Linked DNA regions of Tamandua tetradactyla. The protein of the gene in region 2 interacts with the protein of the main gene of each other region in a pairwise test. Links are inferred from orthologs where the notes say so. Each region holds a gene or a part of one and is shown on either strand. Other genes may lie near its edges.

Evidence for each region. The genes of interacting proteins can lie anywhere in the genome.
Region 1: the proteins of TARBP2 (region 2) and ZNF346 interact in binary tests that used the Homo sapiens proteins (3 or more experiments, as listed by UniProt). The two-hybrid records come from large-scale screens. The link is inferred for Tamandua tetradactyla from reciprocal best matches to the Homo sapiens genes TARBP2 and ZNF346.

The regions. Positions count from the first base shown.
Region 1 is NC_135346.1:58,692,364-58,699,596, forward strand, and holds the start of ZNF346 (zinc finger protein 346), read left to right. Parts: upstream 1-4,215; 5' UTR 4,216-4,547; coding exon 4,548-5,061; intron 5,062-5,360; coding exon 5,361-5,447; intron 5,448-7,233.
Region 2 is NC_135333.1:114,947,810-114,955,226, forward strand, and holds the start of TARBP2 (RISC-loading complex subunit TARBP2), read left to right. Parts: upstream 1-4,413; 5' UTR 4,414-4,644; coding exon 4,645-4,882; intron 4,883-5,648; coding exon 5,649-5,784; intron 5,785-6,414; coding exon 6,415-6,510; intron 6,511-6,842; exon of another isoform or gene 6,843-7,086; coding exon 7,087-7,159; exon of another isoform or gene 7,160-7,407; coding exon 7,408-7,417. UniProt on the Homo sapiens protein: Required for formation of the RNA induced silencing complex (RISC). Component of the RISC loading complex (RLC), also known as the micro-RNA (miRNA) loading complex (miRLC), which is composed of DICER1, AGO2 and TARBP2.

The sequences.
Region 1 (7,233 bases), on a different chromosome or scaffold from region 2:
GTACCCCTGCTGTTTTGGATCAGTCTCAGGTTCAGAGTCAAACACAACGTCCTACTAGTAAAACCGAATCCTTGGCCACCTCTAACAACTAGAGAAAGTTGTTCCTGGAGCTAAGTAGAAAGCCTCAGATGGGGCAACCCAGATACCCTCCATGAGTCCTACACTGCAGATTCATTGCCCCACCCCATCTGCACTGCCTAGGTTGTCACCCCTACTACAGCAGCTAGCACACACTCTGATATTACGTAAATAGTGGATACTTTTCTCTCTCTCACAAGAGTTTAATCTCCCTGACAGCAGGAATTATAATTTACTAAACTGTGGAGCATGAATTTGCATGTATGCACACAGAGGCAGTGTTTACTCATTTGAAATGTCTGCGGAACTGTGGCACAGCCTTTTCCTTGGGATTGTTCATGTCCCATACCAACAATCACCGTAGAGCATATTGGAAAATGGTTCTCACCTCCACAGGGAAGAAGTAAAAAGCCAGCCGGACAAAACCAAGGCATCACCTGTACTGTCAGGTCCCAGCAAGGGGACCAGACGTGGGCACTTATATTAAGGACAAAGCAGAAAACAGGCGACAGTGAGATCTGTTCAGACACTCAGTTTTGTAACTACGGGCACAGAGGACGAACCCTGAAGGCATTCATTGGAGAATAAATGGAAATTATTTTGAGCATTTAATTGGATTGCGACAGGGAGAAGGGAGATTGTTTTCCAATAATACGCACAGCAACTTAAATATTTCCCTCCCAAGATTTACTTCACAGTGTTCTATATAAATACTCTTGTGGGTTCTAAGACTTGAACAAAAATACCCTCTATCCTTTGAGCATTTTTTAGCTGAATAATTTGTGCTGTGCAAATAAGGGTAGTTAGAACTCTCCTTTAAGATAGGAATACATAGTTACTGACTTTTATTTATTTATACACTGATCTTCGGGTGTAACAAAAGAACACGGATTTGCAGTCTGAGGACCAGTGCTCAAGCACAGTCACTAACTAGTTGTATGACCCTGATAAAACCTTCACCTTTTCCAGTCTATTTCCTCATTTGTCAAATATGAAAATAATTCCCAATAGGAAAACATCCCCATTATTAAATATTTTATGTCAAAGGTGTTTTATAAACTGTAAAATACTGCACAAACCTCACTCATTTATTGCCTTGGGAGCTCTGGAGCCTGGCATGAAACCTGATATAGAACTTGTGAACAATATTTATAGAATATTTGAGTAAATTCCATTGGCAAGCTGTGTGATACCAGGCAAGGAGAATAATCTGTATCTGTCTCTCCTTGGCCTCCTCTGATGCTACTTTCCCATTGTTCTCTGTACTGCAGCCATCCTTTCCTTTCCTTCAAAACACCAAGCTCACTCTTGCCTCAGGGCTTTTGCACATGCTGTTCCTTCTTCCTGGAACTGTTCCCAGTTCTTTACATTGCAAACTCATTTTATCAATAAGGTCAATGATCAATTGTCTTTTTTTTAGAGGCTTCCCCAAACAATCTTTCTAATGTTCTTCCCACATCATTCACCTAATTTCTATCCCTGTTTTATTTTTTCCTTAGCACTTATTTCTATCTAAAAATGATTTTACCTGTTAACTTGTTTATTGCATTGTCCTCCACTAGTATTCCAATGCTCAAAACATCACCTAGCTTATTATAAACACTCAACAAACATTTGAATAAATGAGGTTAAAAACTTGATTCAACAAATACTTTGTATATACCTACTATGGGCCAGGCTTTGTTTCAACATACTGAAGACTGGATGATAACAAAATAAAATATCTGCCTTCCTGGGGCTTACCTTCTAAAGAGGAGACAAACAATAAACAAGATAAAAATAAAATATATGCTATGTCTAATAAGTTTGGTGGCACCTAAAAAAGTTAAGCATAGAATTACCATATGATCCAGTAATTCCACTCCCAGGTTATGTGCCCAAAAAATTGAAAATAGGGACTCAAATAGATACTCGCATGCCAGTGTTCCATAACAGCATTATTCACAATAGAAAAGTATCTATCAACAGATGAATAAACAAAATGTGGTCTGTCCATACAATGGCCTATTATTCTGCCATAAAATGGAATGAAGTAAATAGTGTATGATTCCACTCATATTAAATATCTAGAATAAGCAAATTCATAGAGACAGACAAGTAAATTAGAAGTTACCAGGGGCTGGCTGGAAGAGGAGGCAAGGGGGAGTTATTGCATAATGAGTACAGAGTTTCTGCTTGGTGTGACAGAAAAGTTTTGGTAATGAATGTTGGCGACGGTAGCACAACATTGTGAATGTAATTAAAGTCACTGAATTGTGTCATGAGAATGGTTAAAATGTCAAGTTTTACGTTATTTATATGCTACCAAAATAAAATTTAACACACGCACTGTAGTTAATAAGTGTTTGGGAGAAAAAAAATAAAGCAGGAAAAGTTTAGACAGGGTAGCTAGGGAAGGAAGGAAGGAACTGAGTCAAACAGTTATCTGTGGAAAAAATGCATTCAACAAGGCTAGTGCCACTACAACAGGAAGGAAGGAGGTGGGGGCTGAGATGAAATCAAGGAAATTCAGGGAAGTCAGATTGCCTGGGGCTTTGTGGGTCAAAGTCAGGACTTTGGATTTTACAAAGAGCGAAATGGGAAGCCACTGGATGATCTGAGCACGGTCTTGCTGTGATGTGGCTTGTTACAAGAGGATGCCTGAGAGTACTGACCAGAATACCTGAGAGGCAAAGGGAATAATCGACTGAGTTTGACTACAGCAATAACCTAGACAAGAAATGATGGCTCCAGAAGAATGGGGTAGGGGCAAGTCTGGGATTGGAAGGCAAGATTTTGGGTTTGCATAAGTACACGGAACTGGAGTAGGGCATACGATTTTGTAGGTTTGTCCAGAGTTATGCTCCAATAAATCTCAGAGCGATTTGAACAGTGAGTAAAAAAGTATTTGCAAAGTTCCCTTGGCAAGAAAGGGTTCAACTTCCCCAAGTGGAGAATTCTTAATTTTCTCACAAGCACTGGGGACAACCAAAGCAATAGGCTGAGTCCCAATCCGGGGGTTTGTTCATATGAAACTTAACCCCACAAAGGATAGGTCAAGCCTACTTAAAATTAGGCCTAAGAGTCACCCCCAAAAGAACCTCTTTAGCTGCTTAGATGTGCCTCTCTCTTCAGCCAGCACAACAAGCAAACTCACCACCCTCCCCCTGTCTACATGGGACATGACTCCCAGGGGTGTGGACCTTCCTGGCAACGTGGGACAGAAATCCTAGAATGAGCTGGGACTCAGCATCAAGGGATTGAGAAAACCTTCTCCACCAAAAGGGGGAAGAGTGAAATGAGACAAAGTGTCACTGGCTGAGAGATTCCAAACAGTTGAGAGGTTATCCTGGAGGTTATTCTTACGCATTAAGTAGATATCACCTTGTTATTCAAGATGTAATGGAGAGGCTGGAGGAAACTGCCTGAAAATGTAGAGCTGTGTTCCAGTAGCCATGTATCGTGAAGATGATTGTATAATGATACAGCTTTCACAATGTGACTGTGATTGTGAAAACCTTGTGTCTGATGCTCCTTTTATCTACCTTATCAACAGATGAGTAAAACATATGGAATAAAGATGAATAATAGGCGAACAAATGTTAGAATAAATTTAGATTGAAATACTGCTGATCTTTGAGGGGGAGGGTGGGGGGTATGGTATGTATGAATTTTTTTCTGTTTTCCTTTTATTTCTTTTTTTGAATAGATGCAAATGTTCCAAGAAATGATCATGGTGATGAATATGCAACTATGTGATGATATTGTGAATTACTGATTACATATGTAGAACGGAATGATCGTATGTTAAGAATGTTTGTGTTTGTCATATTTTTTTAAAAATTAATTTTAAAAATTAAAAAAAAAAGATTTTGGGTTTGGACAGTCATGTTGAAGAAGCCTATTAAATTCCCCAAACGGAAATGTCAAGCCGGCACCTTGGATATACAGCTCTGGACTTCAGGGCTAGGTCTGGGCCCTAGGAGTTGGCACTCTGAACTCCACAAATGGGATCTATTATCAGCAGTAATTGAATCACGGAGACGGAGCACCGGCTTCAAGACTTCCTAGCAGCGAAGACGGAGGACCGGCTTTAGGACTTCCTAGCAGCGGAGACGGAGGACCGGCTTCCGGACTTCCTAGCAGCGGAGACGGAGGACCGGCTTCCGGACTTCCTAGCAGCGGAGACGGAGCGCCGGCTTCAGGACTTCCTAGCAGCGGAGACGGAGCGCCGGCTTCAGGACTTCCTAGCAGCGGAGACGGAGCGCCGGCTTCAGGACTTCCTAGCAGCGGAGACGGAGGACCGGCTTCAGGACTTCCTAGCAGCGGAGACGGAGCACCGGCTTCAGGACTTCCTAGCAGCGGAGACGGAGGACCGGCTTCAGGACTTCCTAGCAGCGGAGACGGAGCGCCGGCTTCAGGACTTCCTAGCAGCGAAGACTAAACTAATCTACTTTCTGGAACTGGGCCTTGGTTTCCCCACCAGCAAAATGGGAGAAATACTCTCACACAACACGGCCTTCGTGAGAACGAAATGCTTAGTGTCAAACTTTGACCACGAACAGGTGAGAACCCAGAGGCACGGACCCCACGAGCTCGTCTCGGAGGGAAAGAACGGCGGCGTCGCAGACGACCGGTTTTCTCCACCACAGAACACGCCCCAAGGCCCGAGAATAAAAGCCAAAGAAACTCCAAGGTTGGCGCCGCTAACCGCTCTGCAGCGCCTAAACCTCGCGAGATTTGTTGGCCGCGTAAAGTCGCTACCGTCCCACATCTCGCGAGACCAAGACGCGTGCGCGGCTCTCGGCCGCTTAGGGCTGGCGGGGAAGATGGAATATTCCGCGTTGGGCACCGTGGAGGCTACGGACGGCGGAGGGGCCGGGCTGTACTACAGCTCGGAAGAGCGGGAGGGCCGGGAGCCGGACGGGGTGCGCTTCGACCGCGAGAGGGCGCGCCGCCTGTGGGAAGCGGTGTCCGGGGCCCAACCGGTGGGGAGGGAGGAAGGTGAGTCCGGGGGCCTGGGAGGCAGGAAGCCCCCCGACCTGCCTGCTCGGCCCGCAGGGCGTGGCGGGAGCGCCGGGCGGGGCCGCAGGCCAGACCTCCGGTCCACGGTCACACCCCCTGGCGCCCGGCCCGCCCCCTGGCGTGACGCTCCCGGGTACTCCCGGGCTCGAGTTCCACATCAGGGATATGGACCCCGTAAGCCAAGGTCTCCGCAACCCAGGTGGCAGGTCCCCGCGCGCAAAAGGCCAAAGGCCTCACATTCAAGCTCCAGGTTTTGTCCCTTCCTCCTCGCCCACCAGTGCAGCTCTTCCCACGCTCGAGGACTGTGGTCCCCATCCACGCTGTCATGGAGCCCCTGACCTTAACGCGCCAGAAGCGCAGCCGAGGCGAGTACCTCTCACCGTTTCCCCCTGACTCCCCACATCCCTTGGCACCAGGTTCCCCTACCCCTAGTTACTCTGCTCCTTCTCTCACCTGGCTTCCCTCGACTCAAACCCGCCTCTGAGGGCTTTTGAAAGCCTTCAACCTTACCCCCATGTTCCTTTTGGCCTCGGTGGCTGAGCCCAGCTTACCCGTGTTTCTAGGTGTCTGGCCTTTACGGAAATGGGGGTCAGGAGCCTGAGCAACTGGCCTGGGTATGCTTTGGCTCCAGCTGCTTTGTACCCCATGCTTGACCCAAAGTGGTGAACAAGAATATACACCAGGCCAGCTTGGGGGTCACCTCTAAGTTGATCCTTACTATTTGGCTCTGCGTTTGACCTAGCAGCTGAAATTAAATGGGAGATGGAAAGAGGACTTAGCGCTAGCCAGGCCTGGCTGTGTGACCTCTTCACAGTTCTTTGCAGAGCTAGCAAGGTAGCTGAAGCCCAAACATACAAAAACATTCTAGGCTGCTGTGCTCATCCTGTCAGGCATGTGCAGGGAAATCGGGTTTCTCTGATAATTTGTTTGCTTGCTCAGCAAGCTAATTTTGCTGTTTGTGAACTGATTGCCCTGATATAAAATTGAATTTTTGACCACATCCAAGGTAGAGGATGTTTAAATTTGGGGTGCTGCACAATCTGTACCCTGGTGTGTACTTCACCAGTTTAAAAAGAAGTCTAGTCTGACTCCTGGATTAATATGTATATTATTTCTGGGCCTCCTGTCTCACTCATCTTTCAAACATTTTTAGTACCAACTAATCCCCGCCCACCTTTTCTTTCATTAATTTGACAAACATTCTCTGATGTCTGCTGTCTTGCAAGGACTGGCTGAGCTCAGAGCTACAGAGATGAGGAAGGTACGGTCTTGTCCTGGAGGAGCTTGCAGTGAGGTCCAGGAAACAGCAATTTCAGTGTAGATAATAGGTGCAGTGAAGAGGAATGTCTAGGAGTTGGGGATGCACAAAGAAAAAGTGATCTTTAGCCTAGGAAGAAAGGGAAGGAAGGCCCTGAACCTTAAAGCGTGGAGAACACAGCAGCTGTGCTCCAAAAAGTAAACTGTATATGTGTGTGTGAGTATACAGTGTAACAAACCAGTTCGTTTTCCTAATCTACTCAGGTCTCCCATATTTATATGCGGTCCAGATAAATACCTGTAACACCAAGCTCTACTCAGTTTGGTCATTTTTTTTTTAACAGCTTTATTGAGTTATAATTTGCAAACCAGAAAATTTTCCCAGTGTAAGTGTACAATTCAATATTTTTAGTAAAGGTATAGTTGTGTAACCATGGCCACAATCCAGTTTTAGAACTTTCTATTATCCTTTATGTTACTTTATGCTCATTTGTAGTAAACCCCATCTCCTGCACTATGCACTCATTGATGTTTTATGGCTCTATAAATTTGCCTTTTGTAGATACTTCATGTAAATGAAGTCGTACAACATGTAGTCTTTTACATCTGGCTTCTTTCACTTAGCATATTTTTGAGGTTCATGTAAGTTGTAGCGTGTATTAGTATACTTCATTCCTTTTTATTGCTGAATAGAATTCCATCACCTGGATGTACCACATTTCATTTATCCATTGCTCAGTTGATGGACATTTGAATTATTTCCAGTTTGGGGCTCTTAGGAATTATGCTGTTATGAACATTTGTGTGCAAATGTTTTTGTGGACATATGTTTATATTTCTGTTGGGTATGTTTCTGGGAGTAGAACTGATGAATCATATGGTAACTCTATGTTT
Region 2 (7,417 bases):
GTGTGAAAACTGCCAAACAAGTAACAGTGGGTTCTTTATAAATGTTGAGTTCCCTTCCATTCTTTCCTTTTCCCTCCTCAAAGCAAGAGGTAGTAGGTTGAGTACAAATAGAAAGGGAAGCAGAGAAGCAAGAAGGAGAAAAAAAGGAGAGCAAAGAAAACAGAAAGCAAAGGGCGAGACGCTTCATCCCCAAGAGCCTTCTCCTCTGGAATAGTGTTATTGCCTCTCCTTGCCCCTTCCTTCAAAACACATATGACCCTACTCCTTCTGGGAGCAAATGAACCAGACAGACCAATCTGTGGCTAACCCCTCACCCTCAGGAAGCCTCTAGGTTTCCTGTTGGCATCACTTCAGTTCATTCCTCCTGTAGGGGTCGATTCCCTTAGCCTTTCTTTCTTCCCAGACCCGTGCAGTGGAGAGGCAGTGCATAGGATGAGCCACTAGGAGTGCCTAGGATGGGGGGTACTAGAACTTAGGGTCCTCTTCTTGGCAAAGCCATACTCTACCACATTATCACCACCAGGGGAAGGACTAGGGAACAGCAACTGTTTTTGTTTGTTTGTTTTTATTATAGTAAAAATATTATAGTATATTTAGATACACAACCTAAAACTTCCCCTTTTAACAACATTCAAATATACAATTCACTAGTGTTAACTACATTCACAACGCTGTACTACCATCAGCACCATCCATTAGGCAATTGGTTTTCTGAGGGGTTCAGCCATTCTCAGCTATAAGGAGGCCTGGGAAATCCTCAGACACTTTCTTACTTAGGCTCCCTGCCTCTTCTGCCCATAACTGAGTTTAATCAGGGGACAGATATTTAGCTGTGTATTCCCATGTTGTGCTGGGAGTTGGGGTATCAGAACAGCGTTCTTCCCTGTATCACCTTAGTCCCCAATGTGAGTGAATGAGTGAGTGGTTTTCTTGAGAGGACAGACACTGTTTTTCACCTTTAAATGTGGGATAGGAGGTAGCAGGGCCCTAAAGACAAGAGGAACTTCACTTTCTAGGCAGGGAGGCCCAGGGGGCACTTGGGCCCCATCCTTCCAACTCCTTCTTTTGGCCTCTGGTTGATAAGACGTTTGGAATGATGCTCATGCTCCCAGAGTTATTGGAATTGGAAGGGCAATGGTGTTTTGAGGAAGTCATTGACTGTGTCCTGAGAGGAGTTTGGGTGTAGTGATCTTATGTGTATTCCCTCCTTGTTGGAGGCTACCCACCCAACCTCCTCCCAAGAGGTACCAGATATCTGAGATAAAAAGTGGATACCTTCCTCAGTTCTAAGGGACACCCACTATTTCATATTTCCTCCCCCGTCTATAGAGCCACTGACTGCTTCTCTTACCTCCCCTCAACCAAGGCCATGGATATCCGGAGTTTCAACTCTATGGAAAGGATTCTTACTTATATTTAAGCCAAAGAGTTTGAGGAGAGTGTGGGAAAAGGAAGGGTGGGCCTGGAGATAGGTTAGGGAGCCAGAGGAGATGGGGAAGAGGAGGAGGGGAAAAAGCCACATATGGATGGGGGAGGGGAGGATTCAACATCTGGATGGAGAAGAGAAGATGAATGCCACAGCTGGAGGGGATTGGGGACCAATGCCTGGGCATCCAGGAACAGGTGCTCTCTGCCTACCACACACTTAGTCCAAGCCAAGTGTGTGTGTAGGGACCAGCGGGGGGTAAAGGAGGGCAGTGGGTACATGGGGCTTTAACCTTCCTTTCCTTCTCAGCAGGGTCCCAAACTCACCCTCCTCTTTTCCTCTCTCCCTTCCTGAAGATGAGTGGGAGGAGAGAAGGATGTTCTCTTGCCCACTGTCCTTTAAGTCTGTCCCACAATCATTTCTCACCCCACCCCTCCACCATATAGTCCATTATAGCTCATGAAGCCTTTGGTCTCCAAGCTGGGCCTGCCGTGACGCTCCGCTCGGACCCCCTTCTTCCCAACCACACAGGCGTCGGGTACAGGCCCCCGGTCCCTCCATTCCCACAGCCTCAGCATCCCCGCGCCATGGCTCTCACCCCCTACCCCACCCCTGCCCCGCCACATCTGCATTTCCACCCTCCCTTTGCACCCGGATCCCAGAACCCTATCCCATCCCTGCCCCCTACCCCCCATAACTCGGCCAGGCTCTCACCTCGGGGGCTCGGCGGCCGCAGCACAAAAGGCGGCGCTGCTGCAGCTCTGCTCCGGATGCTGCTCCCGCCTCCTCCTCCTTCTCCTCCTCCTTCCCTCCTCCCCCCGCTGCCCTCGACCGGGCCCGGGGCGCTGTCACAGGCGATGCTCGTACGGTGCACGGATGTCAGCCCCAGCTTTGTGCCCCCACCCCCCGACCCTAGCCCCGTCCCCACTCGGCTCGAACTCCCGCTCCTTCTAGGGCCCCCGCCCCTGGCCCCCCGGGACGGACACGCCCTGAGCGGGGGATGCTGCGCTGGAGCCGCCGGCCTCTTAAAGGAGCCCGCTGTTGCCATCCGGCGCGCTCCAGGCTCATCCCCGGCTCTTCTGGGCCCCGCGCCTTCTGGCTGATGGTATGGTAGGGCCGTCGCACCCTGGGCTTGATGCTGATTCTGTGGGAGCCTCCTGTTAACTCCCTCCTATAGTCGAAAACAGAAACAGTAACCCCTTAGGTGGGGCCAGAGTTATGGGGTAGTTACCCCGGCTCTCCTTTTCTTAATTGACGCAAATCCGATTCCACCCAACTCTGCGCGCCTCAGTTCTAGGCCCGGTACTCCTCCAGTATTCCCAGATGACTTCTCATTACCATTCCAAGTTTACTCTGGACCTCCAACCCTGCTCAAATCAAGACATCTCTTTCCTGACTTATTCCCAGAACACTCAGAGCCTATTTATTTATTTTGGGGTGCTCTTTCTCTCCAAGGTCACAAGATTTTCCCTATACCTATCAGTCCAGTGGTTTTGAGACTTTGGGAAGGGGAGAACGGGGCTCTGGAATTCAAAATTTTGGGTTCTGCTGTGTATCCAGATTAGTCGATTGGTTTTAAGAAGCTAGATTCCTCTTTTGCTTTCCTTCATCTGAGAGACCCAAGTCCCGGCAGAGGGAGTGAGACCACCAGGTGTCATCCCACTACAGCCCGATTCACAGGCCCCAGAAGGGTTTTCCCGGCCAGTTAGAGACAGCCTCACTAGGACCGTTCTAAAAAGGCTTTGGAAGAAAAGCGAAGCTCCATATACTGTGGACAGAACTAAACTGAAGAAGTGAGCTGAAGGACAAACCCAGGGAAAGGAAACAGGTTCTGCGAGACGAAGGCCCATGGGCCAGAGTTTTAGGCCGAGGCGCTGAGGAGAGAAAGTCTTAGAGGAACTTGTACTACAACTTCCTCAGCTTCTCGGGTGCGTAGGGAGCAGAGAGCAGCCCCCACCCGACGTCCAGGCAAAACCCACCCTCCAGACCGCAAAAAGCCAGCAACAGACAGCACCCTTATCCCCGGACCAATCATTGCCTTTCCTCAAGAAAACGCGAGGTCAAGGGGCCCGGCTCTGGCCATGTCCCCACCCCTCTAGGAAAAGTAACCAATCTCAATCCGTCTGTGGGGGGAACGCAACTGGGAATAACCAATTACGCGGCGAAGCTTCTAGTGCGTGTAGAACCTGCCCCTCCAGTTGCGACAAAGATGGCGCAGAAGTTCCTGGGTTCTGTAGTTTTCGGAATTGAAAAGACTCGGGTTTTCAAGTTAGCTCTTACCGCCCGGCCCCCAGCTCCTTCTACTCAGCTGGTGCGCATGTCCAAAACCTCAAGGTGTATGGGAGAGGAGGCGCGGAAGATAGGAGGCGGGACAATAAAAAACAAAAACAAACAAACAAACAAAACTCAGCTCGGGAAGCGACAGCGGAGGAAACAGCTCCTCCCAGAAGGCGGTGCAGCCTGCCAGGGCAAACCACGCGAAGGGTTGTGGGTGGATAGCTGCCCTCCTTATGGAGACGCATGGAGTAGGATGGGCGGGGGGACTTCAAGTCCCAGCATGCCCTGCGGCGGGCCCTACCGGCCGCGACTCCGGGCTTGGCCCCGGCCCTAGCTTGTCAGCGGTGTATTGGGGCGCGTGGAGGCTGTAGCTATAGTGGAGCCCGCGGGGACGGAGGAGGGAATGAGTGAAGAGGAGCAGGGCTCCGGCACTACCACGGGCTGCGGGCTGCCCAGGTAAGTCACCTTGTACCGATCCCTACAGGATGAAAAGACTGGCGCGGTGCGGAGGGGGTAGCCGCGCGGCCCCAGCATGCACCTGGCCTGAGGGTTGTTCCCGGTAAGCACTGGGGCAGTGAGCAGCGGTTACCGGCGTGCACCGGGGCAGTGGCCACTACCTCCAGGTCTAAATAGTTTGGTGTTGGCTTGGTTCCCAGACTGCACTGGGGCACTGGGCATTGTGCTCCCGACATTCAGTGCATTTGGTGGGTACTGGGTTCCTGGCCTGCACTGTGGCAGGGGACATGCACTTCCAGCCTTCGCTGGGGTACAAGATCTCCCGCCTTAACTGAGACAGGAACAGTGCATCCCCCTCCTACCGTGGGGAAGTGAACTCTGCTTTCCCAGCCTGCACCTCTACTTTTTATTGAACTCAGCCAACGGTTGCCGTATTGCACAGGGTTCTCTGGACCCTGTGCCCCCATAATGTACCTGGGTTTGGTATGGCAGTGCTTGGCCAGGTGGGTGGAGGGAGGGAAGATGTGATACGGGTCTGTGCGCCTCCCTCCAGTATAGAGCAAATGCTGGCAGCCAACCCGGGCAAGACCCCGATCAGCCTTCTGCAGGAGTATGGGACCAGAATAGGGAAGACACCCGTGTACGACCTTCTCAAAGCCGAGGGCCAAGCTCACCAGCCTAATTTCACCTTCCGGGTCACCGTTGGCGACACCAGCTGCACTGGTGAGGAAGACTTGGGCGGCCTGGCTGGGGTGTGCATTTATAGGGCCCCATGGCTTTGTTTCTTGGAGTCACTTCCCAGTCCTCTTCTCCAAGGCTAGTGAAAGGAGAGATTTGAGGCGAGAAGTTACTGAGTGGCTTGGGAGAACAGGGCTTAAAGAGGTGGGATAGGACTTGGAGAGTTGGAGAGAATAGGACTGCTACAGTGATCTGGCAACTCCTCTCACACTTGAGGAAGATGTAAGAGGAAATAAACCTAAATTGCAATAAGGATCTGGGGGAGGGAGTGCCTCTTATTCCCAGGTGCTTAATCACATACCCATTTAATCTTAAACTTCACTTAACCCCATGATGTAGATGGTAATATCACCATGTTATATAAGAGGAAACAAGCTCAGAAGAGAGATAATATGACTGGTGCAAGATCACATACCTAAGCAGTGGCAGAGCTGGGTTTTGACTCCAGAACCTGTCCTCTTTCTGTTTTTCCACCTATTTTGATTTGAGGGAAAAGAAAGGGCTTTCATGAGTTAAGAAAGGCAGAAAAAAGGATCTCTCCACTCAAGGTGTTTGAGCCCAGGAAAAGTTCTGCTTGGCAAGGTTTGACTTCTGTCTGGGAGTTAATGGATGAGTAGGGCCCTACCTTCCAGTAATTAGTGTAACACTTCCAATCTTGGGCATAGGAAGGTTGGTTAGAGGGGCTTGGTTGACTTCCTCTGGCTGTGAGGAGAGAGGTTGTGGGATGCTGGTTTCTTTTCTGTCCTTTCAGTGACCTCCAGTATTGCCCACACCCCTCTCTCAGGTCAGGGCCCCAGCAAGAAGGCAGCCAAGCACAAGGCAGCTGAGGTGGCCCTCAAACACCTCAAAGGGGGGAGCATGCTGGAGCCGGCCCTGGAAGACAGCAGGTGAGGGAGGAACAGCTGAGGCATCCTAGACGCCCTGCCCCAACCCCTTCTGCCCAGTAGGCTATCCTCTCCTGGCTTCTTCATAAGAATTTTCTCTAAACCCGAATAGAATGTTTCCAGGGTTTCTGCTGCTGTGAAGGATTCTGGGTGGGGGTGGGGTGGGGTGGTGGCCCAGCCTCATTAGAGGTTGTGGCCTTAGTTTGGGACCCCAGTGAGGGAAGGAGAAGGGAGGAAGCTGAGGCTGGAGGTAGTTACTCCCCAACCTGTCTCTTATTTAGCAAGATGTCCTTCCCTCTTCCACACTCTGGTTGGAGTTTGTTGCCCCCAGGATCCTTCTCCCCCTTTTCCCAGTCCTTTTTTTTTTTCTTCCCTGGGTGCATGGTCTGGGAATCAAACCTGGGTCTCCTGCATGGCAGACGAGAATTATATCACTGAACCATCTGTGTACCCCTTCCCAGTCCTTTTGATTTAGTCTTTAACAGGAGAAAGATGGTGGTTGAGCTTCCCCAAGTCTTTGGTTCAAGTGGGAAGGTGCTCTCCTAAGGGATGGGCAGGTCAAGAGGATCTTCCTTCACCCTCCATTTCTTCTACACATGGATGTGAATCAAAGGCTCCCTTCCCCTCGGGAAGTTCTTTTTCTCCCCTAGACTCTTCACTGCCTGAGGACGTTCTGGTTTTCACTGCTGCAGCTGCTGCAACTCCTGTTCCATCTGCTGTCCCAACAAGGTATCTTGTGTCCCTTGACTGCCTGAAGTGGGGAGGAAGGGCTTCTGGCTCCCGGCCTCCTGACCCTTGGTCTTAGGCTGGTCAGGCATGAGGAAGTCTGAGTGTAAACAAAGAAATATTTGGGAACCAGAGCTTGAAGAGTTTACACCAGCTGGTAAGCTCTTGGGACAGGAGGTAACTTATTATTTTTTAAATTGCCATGTGGATGATGTTGGACCACGTTTAAGGGTTTCTTCTGGGGTTGGCTACATGATAGCTCCATGTTTGAGTCCCATCAGGTGTTTCTGGGAACTGAATATACACCCCTCTTCCCGTCCTGGTAAGATGATGCCTGAGCGTACCAGAATCTATATAGGGCTGGGAGATAGAGAAGGCTTCCCTTGGGTGGGAGGGGGAAAACAGGTTAGAGTAGGAGGGTGTAAGGCTAGACGTTTGGACAGACACTGCTTGCCTTGCCTTGTGGGGAATAGGGAGAACATAGTGAAAGAAACTAAAGCAGTGGTTAGGACCTGCATCATGGGCAGTTGCAGAAGGAACCATATTCCTCAGCTTTGGCCCTGGGCCTTTTTCCTTCAGGAGCCCGTCCATGGAGGTGCAGCCCCCTGTCTCCCCTCAGCAGTCTGAATGCAACCCTGTTGGCGCTTTGCAGGTGTGCCTTCATCCTTATTTCTTCTGCATGCCTGTCTTTCCTGAACCAAGGGAAGGTTGTGTGTGTTTGTGAGTGGGGGAGGCAGTTACCCTGTACTGAGGGCTTTTTTCACCACACACCCCCCTTTATCCCATCTCTAACCTAGAGCCTGAGGCTTTTGGGGCATGAGGGAGAGTGGAAACCAGCATGGATAAGGATAAATCTTTGTTTATTCAACCTTGCACACCCATTTCTCTACCTCTTCCAAGGAGCTGGTAG